Linked DNA regions of Caenorhabditis elegans. The protein of the gene in region 2 purifies or fractionates together with the protein of the main gene of each other region. This does not show direct contact. Each region holds a gene or a part of one and is shown on either strand. Other genes may lie near its edges.

Region 1 (7,638 bases), 5.2 Mb from region 2:
AATGAAATGCGAAAACTTTATTGAAACTATTGAAAAAGCTTATCCGAGGATTCAATGGAGTGAAGTACAGAAAGATATCAATTTAACCATTCGCAAGGCAATCGAAGCAGCTGCAAAGTAAGTTTCGTTTTGTTTAGAAATATCTTAATGTTTGCATTTTCAGAGAAGAAGCTCCACGAGGAGTTGCTCCAAATGTCCAATCCCGTGCAATGTACGGTGTTGATATTATGCTTCAACACGGAGACAATGACGTCATCAAATCCACTCTCCTCGAGATTAATTTCATGCCGGACACCACTCGAGCATGCCAGTATTATCCAGATTTTGCTGACACTGTTTTTGAGACGCTTTTCCTGGATGAAATCGATCCAACCAAAGTCACACCAATCTAATTTCGTGTTCTTTTTTGTTTTTTCTTCCATATTACGATTGTTATATTATTTTTTGTTAACTTATTCTATTTTCGGCACTGAAACTTCACCGTGTTCACGTTTTCATCGGTGTTTTCTCGTATTCCAGTGGAAATTTTATGATCCTCTTTTCTTTATATAAAATTTGCATTCCTTTATGAATATAGTTATTCTTTATTTATTATCAAACTTCAGAAAAGAAATAGAAGAAGCACAATTATTAGGTTATTTCTCACGACATTTCAACAAAATTACACGTATTCTCGGGGGTACAATAACAAGAGAAAGCTCGCTGTGGTCACCTAGTCAAAACAACGTGATTATTTGCCACGTGGCAAATCGTACTTAAGTCCAGACGTATTCCTTTCCAACTGTGCCACATCGAAGATCACCAACTCGGCACCGTCAGCAGTCTTTCGGCAAGCAAGTCCAACTGATGAATCCTTTTGTTTTGGAAGATTCCAAATTGTGTACTTTCCTGGCTCAAGGAAAATTCGATCGAATCCCTTGTATTTATAGATGCATCCAACTGTGGTGACCTTTGTCTTGTTATCTCCGTCAGTTTCGCAGGTCTTCTCGATCTTCCAGTCTGGGTTCTGCTCATACCATCTACATCCGATCACCTTGTTAATGTCACGACCATTTTCAACAATCGAGCATCCGACGGCACGGTGGCTTCGTTTTCCTGGACGGATCTGGAAATTATAAGTTGAATATTTGGATGTACATATTATATTTAATTTCCAAGAGTCAGTAGGGATTTAGTTTAAATAAACTTATTATAGTTCAAAATGACAAAACATTTCAGATTTTTCAAAATTTTCAGTCACAGTTTTGGTAAATTACCAAATTTATCAAAAATTGTCAACTGACAATATGCAGATTAGTCCTTTTTCTACAGTTTTGATGTTATTTACTTTTTTGAAATATTTGAAATTAACCGAGATATGAGCTGCCAAAGTAGAGATTTTCCTAACGTCTGGATTCATTTCGGGACACCTAATTCTTAGTTCCTTAATGTATCATTTTCATATTTGAAAACTTCAATTTCAGAACTGTTCCATTGATCTCCCGTTCTATTTTTTCTCATTCTCATCACCTTCTTTTGCATGTTTCCCAATTACCTCGTTCTCCTCTTTCTCTTTTTCACATTGAACGTTCACTGTTGTATGTGTTTTGTACCCTAACAGTCTAAACCTATTGTCCAGAAAAAAAGCATCCAATAACTGATTCCTGTCCCCACTGGTACAGTCATTGACCGGAAACATACCTCGCACTGATAAGTGGTTCCATCTCTTTTGTACCGTTGTCCATCATACAAGTCTTGTCCACCAGCAACACATCCGATGCACTGCTTCGTACACTTTCCACCTTGCAACTTGCAATAGAAGAGGTAGTCTCCGTCCTGAAAACGAGAATATACAAGTTAATAAGAAGATGATGTTATCTATTTCATCAATCTGTTTTTTTTCTGTTTTTTTTCAAAACTTATTTTTAAGGTATGTACTTCCTATTAGGATTTGTTGTTATCATTTTCATCTTCAGAACTTTTTTTTCGTGAAAAGTTTGATGTTCAAAAATCGCAGGATTTTGCAGGGGCACGCCCTTGGACAAGTTGATTTAATGTTGATTTGAACATGTTTAGAAGGTTCAAATTGGGTTTGGAAGACTTCCGGGAGAAATGATTGATAATGGATGAAATGAAATTCAAAAAAAAGAGAAAAGTTCTAGAAGTTTCGGCGCCTTCGTTTTTTTTCGTTTCAAATTACTAGGAAATAATTATTTTGACAGATGCATTGGGCTTGGTAGATCCCGATCCCAGTAGGCACAAAAATATCTACCTACATTTCAGAAGACCTACGCCGGCCTATGAAAAAATATAAATAGGTGGTAGGCGAGTCATGAAGGCTTGTCCACCCAAACTCATTGGTAAAACTCACTCTGTATTGTTGTCCAACAGTGTATCGAGTTCCCTCATGAATACATCCAACACTGCACATTTGAACGACTCCAGTAGTTTTTTGTTGGCATTTATAACTGAAAATATTTTTTCCATACTCTTCAGAATTCAAAGTCTCAACTTAAAAAAAAAAGTTGCTACCGCAAAAGTTCAAGTATCTCGTAGACACCAACCGATAAGATATAAAAGAGTGCATTTTCGTAGTGACCCGTTTTTTTTGTCACTTTATCACATAATCTCGCCATATCCGTCGCCCTTATCAATGAAAAAAAAAACTAAAAAAGTTGTTAAAATACAACTTGGGAGAAAATAGGATTACGGTGGATTTGAAGGTTGCAGGATATCAATTAATTTCCAAGTGCTATGAAAACATTGAAAGGACATAAAAACAGGATTTGAATTATCATTTTTGATCTTTCATCACCGAAAATGTACCCGAGAGTACTGTAATTTAGATTATGATACGTTCGATAGCACTAGTCCACATGTCTTATTTCAGAAAAACCTACGCCTACCTCGTACCTACTGCGAAACCGCCAATCTCTTGCATTCAAAGATTAGATTTCAAGCTTCAGTGTTTTAAATAGTGTGAAACCGTCAATTCCTTAACTTTACGCTCAAATAGGAAATAAGCATTCGTCAGAAACGAAGGCAGGCACGTGTAACTCTTGCCTACCTGCCAGATTCACCTAGTGTTGGAAATTCTTGAATTGACAATGCTGTCACATCAGTTTTAATGTCCCCTAGTTTTCCTATTAGTTTAAATTCAATTAGGTAATCTGGGTTTCAGTTCAATTTTGATCCTTAGATCCAATCTATCACTTTCAATCTTTCAAAACCCTATCAGTCAATCTCTATCACTATCTATTTAAACTCATTCTTTAGTCTTTCACCACTCTTTGCCTTTTCGTTTTTCTGCTAAACCGTCTGACCGGTGTCACTTCATATTGTCTCCCGTGTGTTCAAATTTCGGGTGGCCTTCAAATCATATGTCACCCTATCATTTACACTTTTCTTGGCGGCGCCATGTCGGTAAAAACAACGGATAAGCGGAGATAAGCCATTGAGCGAAATTTAGGGGCAGCGAACTCACGTGTATCCGTTGAAATCGTCTGTCTGACCAAGTGGGACACGTCGTTGCTTATCATGGGCAATGCATCCTTCAATTGTCGTTTTGACAACACGACCATCGTCACGGCAACGGTAGTAGTAAGTGTTCTGGAAGAGGTATTTTTGTGGTTGAATGGGGTAGAGGGGGTTGTGGTCAAAGTTGAACTTGGAATACTACTATGATTGAAGACAAATGGGTCTGTTCTATTTTATTAAATATCAATTTACTAGATCTTGCTCAAACTGTTTAAAATTAAATTGAAAATTAGCTACCAAAATTTCAAAATTTCTCTACACAATTTTCGGTTTCTAAACCAATTCGATTATGTCTTCTTTTCATTTAATGATCAAAGGATCAGAAACATTATCAGGCCGGTTATCTGTCCTATGCCTATAGCACCTATGGGATGTGGGATCTCTAGAAAACAAGCTTATACTTACTTTAGGTATCACTGTGGGCAAGCACATCGGCGATCAGAGTACCTGTTTGTGTGCCTACCTTAAGCCTACTTGTTTTTATTGGAAACTATTGGTTTGTGCTTCCTAAGTAGATTAACAATATTTTAATTTTGTGAGCACGAAAGCATGAGTCTTGCATCGAACACGCTCTCAATTTAAATTTAATAAATCACACTTTCAAAGTTCATCTCTAATTATTGTGCCACATTTTCAGCGATTTTTCTCGGCATTGTCAAACTATGCCTTCCACTTTTTGAATTTGTAGGTCAAAAAGTTTTCGTTTGGAATCAAATTAGTGAAGTTTCGAAAGTAAAATTGGGTCAGTTCAAAAACTATGTTATAGCTTTCGTTGAAACTTTGATCAACGTTTTTTTTTAGTGGCAACTAAAAAGTTAATAGAAAAATTGCAGAACCCCCTACTGTGTGTGTCCGCCCACCGGATGTGATACATGTTGCAACTTTCTTCACATGTTTTAATATCTTTCACTTTCCTCTCATTCTTACCTTGGCATCGGTCCAAGTCTCTCCTTTTTGATAGGTACGTCCATCTGTGCCGACACATGCGCTGTAGCCGAATTCGATATAACCGTCGCTTCCTGATAAAGAGTAATCGTAAAAAAGGAGATTTGATACGTTTTCTACAAAATCAGATGTGGGTACTCAATGATATGGGGAAAAAGAAGATCAAATCGACAAAAGATGTTGAATGAGAGACATTAGAAATGGTTTTTTTTTTGAATGGACACGATTTTGAGAATACCTACTTTTAAAATATTTTAACAATTTGAAAGTTAGTTATTCTTAACACTGTCGTGAACTCGAAGACTCCAAAAGTTACGGAAACAGTACTAGGTATTCTGAGTAGTAGGTATTAAGAATTTGAACTAGCTAATAAAAAGTTGAATTTAATTCCAACTGAAAATTTATAGTATTCTCAGAAGCCTAGTTGCCCAGATCAGTATAATTTCCATGCTCGAAACTAACCAAGTTGGCAAATGAACTCATATCTATCTTGTTGGAAAGTATGTCCAAGTGGAATCTTTTCCTCTGTGCTTGACAGACATCCAAGTGGCTCCAACTGTCCACGTCTACACTCATAAAAGTATTTTCCACGTGTCACTTGGTCTCCTTCCTGCCACCATTGAGCTGGCCGTCCGTTCCCGCTTGTCCAACATCTGCAAAAGGAGTTTTTTTTTTGAAAACCGGTTCTTATCAATTGGTTTCAGTTTCGTTGAGAACCATAGATACTAGTAGCTAGTTGTCTTGTTCAATGAGATGAACTTGACAAGATGATAAGGAATACAAGGGGAACGGTGAGACATTTAGGTTGTGGATTTTGAAATTTTTGATTTTTTGTTGTTATGTATAGTATGTATACAATGTATACGTTAGAAAAAATGATTCCTCATATCTAATCTCAGAAGTTTGGCTCTGAAATTGAACCACCATGATACTAGAGGTTTAATGTTTTATACGTGCCTCCAGAAAAATTTTTATAATTAATGCCAAATAAAAAATAGGCATAGGCAGGCACGTAGGCAAAAAAAGGCATATTTAGAAGCCATGGAAGCCATATGACTTTCAAAAACAAATTTTTTGAGAATAAAAAAATTTGCTACGAAAATCGTAAGGTTTGAGACTAATAAGGATTAATTTTTCGAAAATTTTGGATACACTGAACCTTTAAAAAATAAAACAAACCTAGCTCTAGCTGCAGCTCCTTTTTCGACATTTGAATAGGCCGAAACCTCGAAAATTGAAAGAATCGAGAGGATAAGTAGAACCAAGTTGTTCTGCATTTTCATCAAAATTTCTTTTGTCTCTAATTCCCCCGCTTTCGGTGATTTTTATAGTAGCTCCTAGGCTCCTCCCACTTCCTCCCCCACATCTTCTTTCTCTTTTTCACTTTTTTCATCTTTTCTCTCCCCTTTTCCGTCCGAAAATGGACAATTGTTCTTCAAGTGGGCGGAGCTCTAGGAACACCTTTTCGCTCTTGAATGTTTGTTTTAAGATGAAGAAAAAGCGGAAAAGAATTGGGATATACATCATAGTTACGCCGGTTTTGTTATTCAAATATCTCATAAATTACAAGTTTTCTGGAGGAAAGAACACCATAAATGACCATTTCAGTGAAAGTGCGTGTAGGAGGGGAAACTACCGGAAATTGAGCTAAAAATATACAGTGTATTGGTCTATGAGTTTTCAAGCTGTCAGATGGTGCAAAATAGATTTATAGATTTTCCAAATAGTTCAAAACAATTCGGTAAACATTCTAAGCTGAGGGAGCCCAAAAATTATGGATGATGCCTTTCAAAGTTATCAATTCGTACTAGAGCTACTCACTTATTCAAAACATCACTCTATAAAACTGGATGGGCAAATGAAAACTTATAGTTAGGACCTGCCTGCCACCTCTGAATTACGGTATGATACAGCTTTTCTACTGTGAAGAATTAAATTTAAGCGCACTTCAAATTGAACGTACTTTTGAGAAAACGGAAATTTCCGAGATTCCATCTATTCCAAAAAGAAATTAGTTGCCAAAATTGAGCAACTGGGAGTAACGGCATATCATTTTCTATCACAATATCACATTCGACTCGTTTGAGCTCTGGAAAATATGATAATCTAACTTTTTGGATATGACGTCACAATCAGTCCTGTAAGAAATTTCACGTTTTCCAGTGGAAGGATCACTCCGAACACGCGCCTCGTATCTCAATCTGAATGTGGCTTACTGCTGTAGTATGGGATTTCCAAAATAATCCATCTTTGAAAATGTGTGTGTTTTTTTAATTTGTATATATTCTCTGCCTTCTTCATCAAAAACTCACCTCGATTTTCACATATGAGTTCTCAATTATTCATCCAAAAATTCCTAGACACTTATTTCATCCAAACGCATATTTGAAACCGTTTCTCCTCCGGTCGAAATGCTAATTGCCGCCCACCTACATATACCGTGACAACATTTTGTTGTGTAGGTGTCAGTAGTTCACTGACGAGATGAAATTCAATTCAGAAAAAAACGTTCTCTGAGACACACTGACGTCTTCTTATTTGCAGGAAATGATTGCTGACACTTTAAAAAATAAATAGGACAACATTAGAAAATAAACAATCAGGTTGATTTATTTACAATAAATAAAACAGTGTAATCAACTTGTCATTTATCAATGGACAGGAGAGTCTGATGAAAAGGTTTCCGGAGAGATCGGAAGTGAGATGGGGAAATTGGAAAAAGGAAAGAGTTGAAATCTCATTGACTACTCGACTTCATTTTTGTTCATGAGAAATCCGTTAAAATTATAGAGAAAGAAGTGAGACAATATGTTGACGTACAAAAATGGTTATATTCATTTGCAATATCTTCTAAAACTCGCAAAATTGCGTATCTTCAAACTGACGTATCTCGAAAACTATAGTTCTAGAAAACAAATGTTCAACAAACAAAACTATTAGAAATATTTTTTCTTCCCTTTGCATCAATTTTCATTACAAAGTAGCAAGGATTTATTGAGTTACACTGATTCAAAGATAGTTTCCTAAAATCTACCAAAATTTTTGAGAACTGTTCTGTTGTACCAGTCTTAACTCAACATCCATTGAGTTTCAGAATTAAATTTTTGTTGGATAGTAAAAAAAAAATATTTTTCCACATTTTATCAGTTAGACTTTTTTGATATTTTTATGTTCAGC
Region 2 (4,882 bases):
AAGTAATTTTTTTCAAGTTTAAGAGAAAAAAAAAGAAAATTACCTTGGAAATAGTGACAACATGCAAATGTTCAACACCACTTCGTGCATCAAATGAGTTTTGTTTCGAGAATCCTGGATCAATTACATAGTTGATACCATCAATTGTGACTGAAGTTTCAGCAATGTTAGTTGCTAGGACCACCTGAAATTTAGAGAAATTTGGGAAACTAGAAATGCGTGGAATGTTTTGATTAACTTAAAATTATCTTGAAAATGTTATTTTAAAAATTCACCGAACCAAATTTGGACTTTTTGATATTTTAAAATTCTTTGCTTTTTCTTTGAAATTAAAAAAATAATTTTTTGCAAAAAATTTAGTGGTAAATTCATAGTGATTTTAAGGAAATCCCAAAAAAAAAAATGTAAATTCAATTTATTTTAATTTTCAGATGTTTCAAAAGATTTTTTTTCTGTTAATATTTCTGGATTTTTTCAGAATTTTCTCGAAATTTTTGATATTTTTCTGGAATGCTTACATTTTCTATAAAATTTTATAAAATTATCACAATTTTCAGAAATTTCAAATTTTTCAGTTTAGAAATTTTCAAAGAACAGAGCATTTTTTAAAGTGTTTTTTTTGCAGATACGAGAGGATAGCAATTTCAGATTTTTCAATAAACTTTCCGAAACATTTATTTTTTAAATTGGAAAACTTCAAATTTGTTCAGTTTTGTTAAATCTAAACGTTTGCTAAAAAACTAGTTAGGAATAAAATGAAACAGTTTTTGCCTGAAATTTTGTAGATTTTTCTCGGATTTTTTTTTGGAAAAAATTTGTAAGAAAAATCTACCTTTCTCGCATCTTTCGGCGTTGGCTCGAAAATCTTCGCCTGCAAATCACTGGGCAAATTCGCATAAACCGGCAGCGGAATAAGCTCCTTAATCTTCGATCCCAGTGCTTTCGACCGTTCCATAAGTGCTTCCTGTACAGTTTCGATTTCTTCCTGACCAGTCAGAAATACCAAAATATCGCCGGGAAGTGGCTGGGTCAAGTGAATCTGCATAATTGTGACGATAGCCGCGTCGACGTAGTCCGCTTCGGGAGCCTGTGTATAGTAAATGTCCACCGGGAATCTGCGTCCCGGAATTCGGAAAATCGGAGCGTCGTCGAAGAAACTGGAGAACTTTTCAGCGTCAAGTGTTGCAGAAGAGATGAGAAGCTTCAAATCCTTTCGGAATCTTGCAATATCTTTGACTAAACCGAATAGAATATCCGTGTGTAGAGTACGTTCGTGAGCCTCGTCAATCATCATTACACTGGAAACAGGATTTTTTTTCGTTTTTTTTTGGGTTTATTCGAAGTATTGATTAAAATTTAAGAGCGATCGATTTTTTTCTTAATTAAAAACAAAAATCCTGAATGTTTGGTTTTTTTGCTGTTTTTGTAAATGTTCTAAAAATTACCTATAACTAGCCAAATCGGGTTCGTTGAGAAACTCTCTGAGCAGCATTCCGTCTGTCATGTATTTGAGGACAGTCTTCTCCGATGTGCAATCCTCGAAACGAATACTGTAGCCGACCTGGAAAATGGAAGCGTTTCGAAAGAAAAATCGGAATCTGTTTTCCTCGTTTTTTTACAAGTTTAAAAATTTTTAGAAGCGGCAAAGAATTGCCCAAATTTTTTTAACTTCCAGTTTTTTTTTCTAAATTTTGGAATTTTCCGACTAGAATGAAACTTAGTTTATTTTCGCCAATTTCCAAAAACCACCCAACCTGAGTGCCCAGCTTGCATCCAACTTCATCAGCAACTCTAGCGGCAACCGACATTGCGGCGACACGTCTCGGCTGCGTACATCCGATACGCTTCCCACCTTCACAAAATCCAGCTTCATAAAGATACTGTGGTAGCTGTGTCGTCTTTCCCGATCCGGTTTCTCCCTCGATAATGAGCACTTGATGCTCTTTAACAGCTTCGATGAAAGCATCACGGAATGCGTAGACCGGCAACGACTTTCTCGTTTCTTCAATTGACATTTTCTTTTTCTCGGCTTCTGTCTCTACTACTTCCTCATTGGTTCCAGGCATCTGAAGAGCCTGAATAAAGTCCACTTTCTCATCAAGCAACAGCTCAAACTCTTGCTCCTTCCGCTTCGCATCCTTGGCTCCCAGGTGAAGCATCGAGGCCATCAGCTGCTCCTCTTCCCACTTTGCACCATCACCGCCTGGCCTGAAGTCCTCCTCATCATCCTCCACGTACTGTGAAGGGATCTGTTTCGTTGAGGCGTCCGGCAGATGATATCTCTTCATTTTCATGACGTCACCGGCTTTTCCATGGGCTTTCGTGTATTCGAGAACTTTTTTCCGGTACTCCATATCCGCTTTTTCACGTTTCGTGAGCTTCTCCCTAGCGAATAGAGTTTGATCATCGTGAACTATCGCCTCCAGTTCCTCCAGCTTGTCGACTTTTCGTTTTTTCAGGTACTGCCTTCTGGACTCCTCTCGGAGTTTGTCCATGGAGGAACCCTCTTTGTCCTTGTTATCATCTCGCTTTTTCTCCATAACATTTCGAGTTTTATCCTTTTCTTTTTTGTTAATTCGTGCTGCCAAGGCGTCTCTTTCAGCGATATCTGCGTCCAGCTTTGCCTCCATCGCCTCTATATCGGACTCAGAATCGTCGGATTTTGAAGGTTTCACAGATTTTCCTGGTTTACTAGCTTTAATCGGAGCTTCATCGTCTTCACTACTGCTCTCTTTTCTTTTTCTGACATTTTTGGTTTTTGTGGAGCTCGCCGAATAATCCTCCAACACTCCGACCGCCCGATTCAGACGGTTTAGCTCCTGCTCGGCAAGCTCTGCTGTTGTCGGACCACGTTGTCGCGCTGAAGTTGCCTGCCGGGGCATTCGACTCATCAGCTGATCTGCGAATGACTGGATCGCTGGGGAAATCGGAAAATCTCCGGCGTCACGCAGTTTTTCCACTAAATCCGGCGCGCTTTTCGCCTTTTTTGCTAGTGCGTGCACGTATTGACATATTGATCGATCGCTGATACCCACGATTGAGTGTAGTTGGTCGTTGATGAATTGTTCCACGGACATTATCTGGAAAGTTGGATAATTACAGGAAAATTGAAATTATTAAGTGATGAATAATGATTTTTCAACAAAATTTTAGTTGAAAACCACGAAAAAATTCGAAACTCCTTGAGAAACTCATAAAAATCTATGAAAAACAAAAATAAATAAATAAAAATTATTTTTCGAAAGCGCCGGCAATTGTGTGCAAACACCGTCACGTCGGATTGCAGACCCGAGGAATTTCGGATACACGGGGAGGCAAAGCTAACGTGGCTGAAGAAATTTCTACAGTAGTCCCATTTGGCTGACTGAATATTCAACGCGAATAAGTTTTGTACACTATTGCGTACTCTGCGTACGCGCATTTTATTTGACGACAATTCGTTAATATCAGCTCTGGCTAAAAGCGCTTTTCTCATTATTTAAGCGAATAAAAGTCGAAAAAAAAATGTTTTGTGATACAGAATAGTAATTTAAAAAATAAAAAAGTGCATATTTTATGTTTCTCATTATGTTTCCACTGATTTTCTGAGAAAAACCGAAAATTTCCTCTTTTTTCGATGAATTTTAGCTGAATAGTTTGTTTTTATCTAGTTTTTCTTCCGATTGACTGAATAACACATTTAATAACATCAATATAACGTTTAAAACATTCATTGTCTCGAAAACCAATATAAAACTCGTCAGAGAGGGATACTAAGTAGATATGCTGAACAAGGAAATGAGAGAGAAGAACATTAACCGAATGGGGAGGGGGAATAAAAAATCTGAACAGGAACGGAATATAAAGAACATTATTAGAAAGAACAAGCATGGCTTGATCTTCTTGGCAGTCGTCTCCTTATCCTATCACTTCTTCTCGGCGTCCTTTTGATCATGCTACCGAGCAACGTGGCACGATCGAAGAGTTTCACAACGTTTTGATACTTTCGATCCACGAGTCGGGCTCCCAATTCAGCGAGGGTCCTCTCACGAAGCGTGTCGCATTTCTAGGAAATTTAGAAATTTTTAATTTTTAAAAATTAAAAAATAAGTAACACCTCAAGAATTCCATCGAAGTTTTGCTCCTTTGCAATAAGACGAACTTTTTTTTTACGGAATTGAACAGGTACGGCATGAAAACGGCTTCCTCGTTGAACGATGTTGAAGCTCCTTCACCATTGCACCTGAAAATCAACTTCTAAATTTTCAAATTTAAAGAAAATCCACATACTTATCCTCGGAAACGAATCCAATATTCTGGTTGCTGAGTGGAATTGCTTCAAAGATTTTGATCAGATTTTTTTTTGAAATTTTCGATCACACATCTTGTATCCACCAAATCGCCGAGTGCTTCATGAACTTCAGACTTGTGCTTTCCAACCTCTTCCATGAGCTCCACCTCTTCTGCTTGGAACTTTTGATTGCCTTCGGACCGATCTGACTTGTAGTTTCTTCTCAAATAGTGGCTGATTGAGCAGTTGATCTTGCAGTCCTACTTTCTTTGGCTTCTTCTGCGGCACTTGAGCCCTTAAGAGCACTTATTGCTGCTTAACCTTCCTTATTAATACTTCGAACAGCTTCTTCTTGTTCGCATCTATTTCGAATTTTGTCTTGAAATCTTCCAATGCAGCGACAACGTAATATCTGGAAATTATAAAAACATTAAGAGAAAATATTTTGAAAAAAAAATCGAAAATTGCACTGAATTCCTAGATTTTTCATTAAAATCGAAAAAAAAATTATGAAATACGTGAGATTGAGTTTCAAATGTTACTAATTCAGAATCAGCATATATTTTTCTATATTTGAGTGGGTTTTCAGAAATATTGTACCATAATTTTTGG

What was found.
Region 1: the proteins of mog-4 (region 2) and F42A8.1 fractionate together in Caenorhabditis elegans (co-fractionation; one large-scale study listed by BioGRID). This does not show direct contact.

What each region holds. Positions count from the first base shown.
Region 1 is NC_003280.10:9,340,828-9,348,465, forward strand, and holds F42A8.1 (uncharacterized protein), read right to left. Parts: upstream 5,764-7,638; 5' UTR 5,739-5,763; coding exon 5,641-5,738; intron 5,115-5,640; coding exon 4,924-5,114; intron 4,536-4,923; coding exon 4,444-4,535; intron 3,589-4,443; coding exon 3,464-3,588; intron 2,448-3,463; coding exon 2,351-2,447; intron 1,816-2,350; coding exon 1,681-1,815; intron 1,106-1,680; coding exon 731-1,105; 3' UTR 570-730; downstream 1-569. Other genes in the region: ttll-12 (Tubulin--tyrosine ligase-like protein 12), read left to right, coding at 1-117, 164-392.
Region 2 is NC_003280.10:14,558,520-14,563,401, forward strand, and holds the start of mog-4 (putative pre-mRNA-splicing factor ATP-dependent RNA helicase mog-4), read right to left. Parts: upstream 3,081-4,882; 5' UTR 3,078-3,080; coding exon 1,755-3,077; intron 1,562-1,754; coding exon 1,446-1,561; intron 1,299-1,445; coding exon 833-1,298; intron 637-832; exon of another isoform or gene 467-636; intron 185-466; coding exon 44-184; intron 1-43. UniProt on the Caenorhabditis elegans protein: ATP-binding RNA helicase involved in pre-mRNA splicing. Operates during embryogenesis.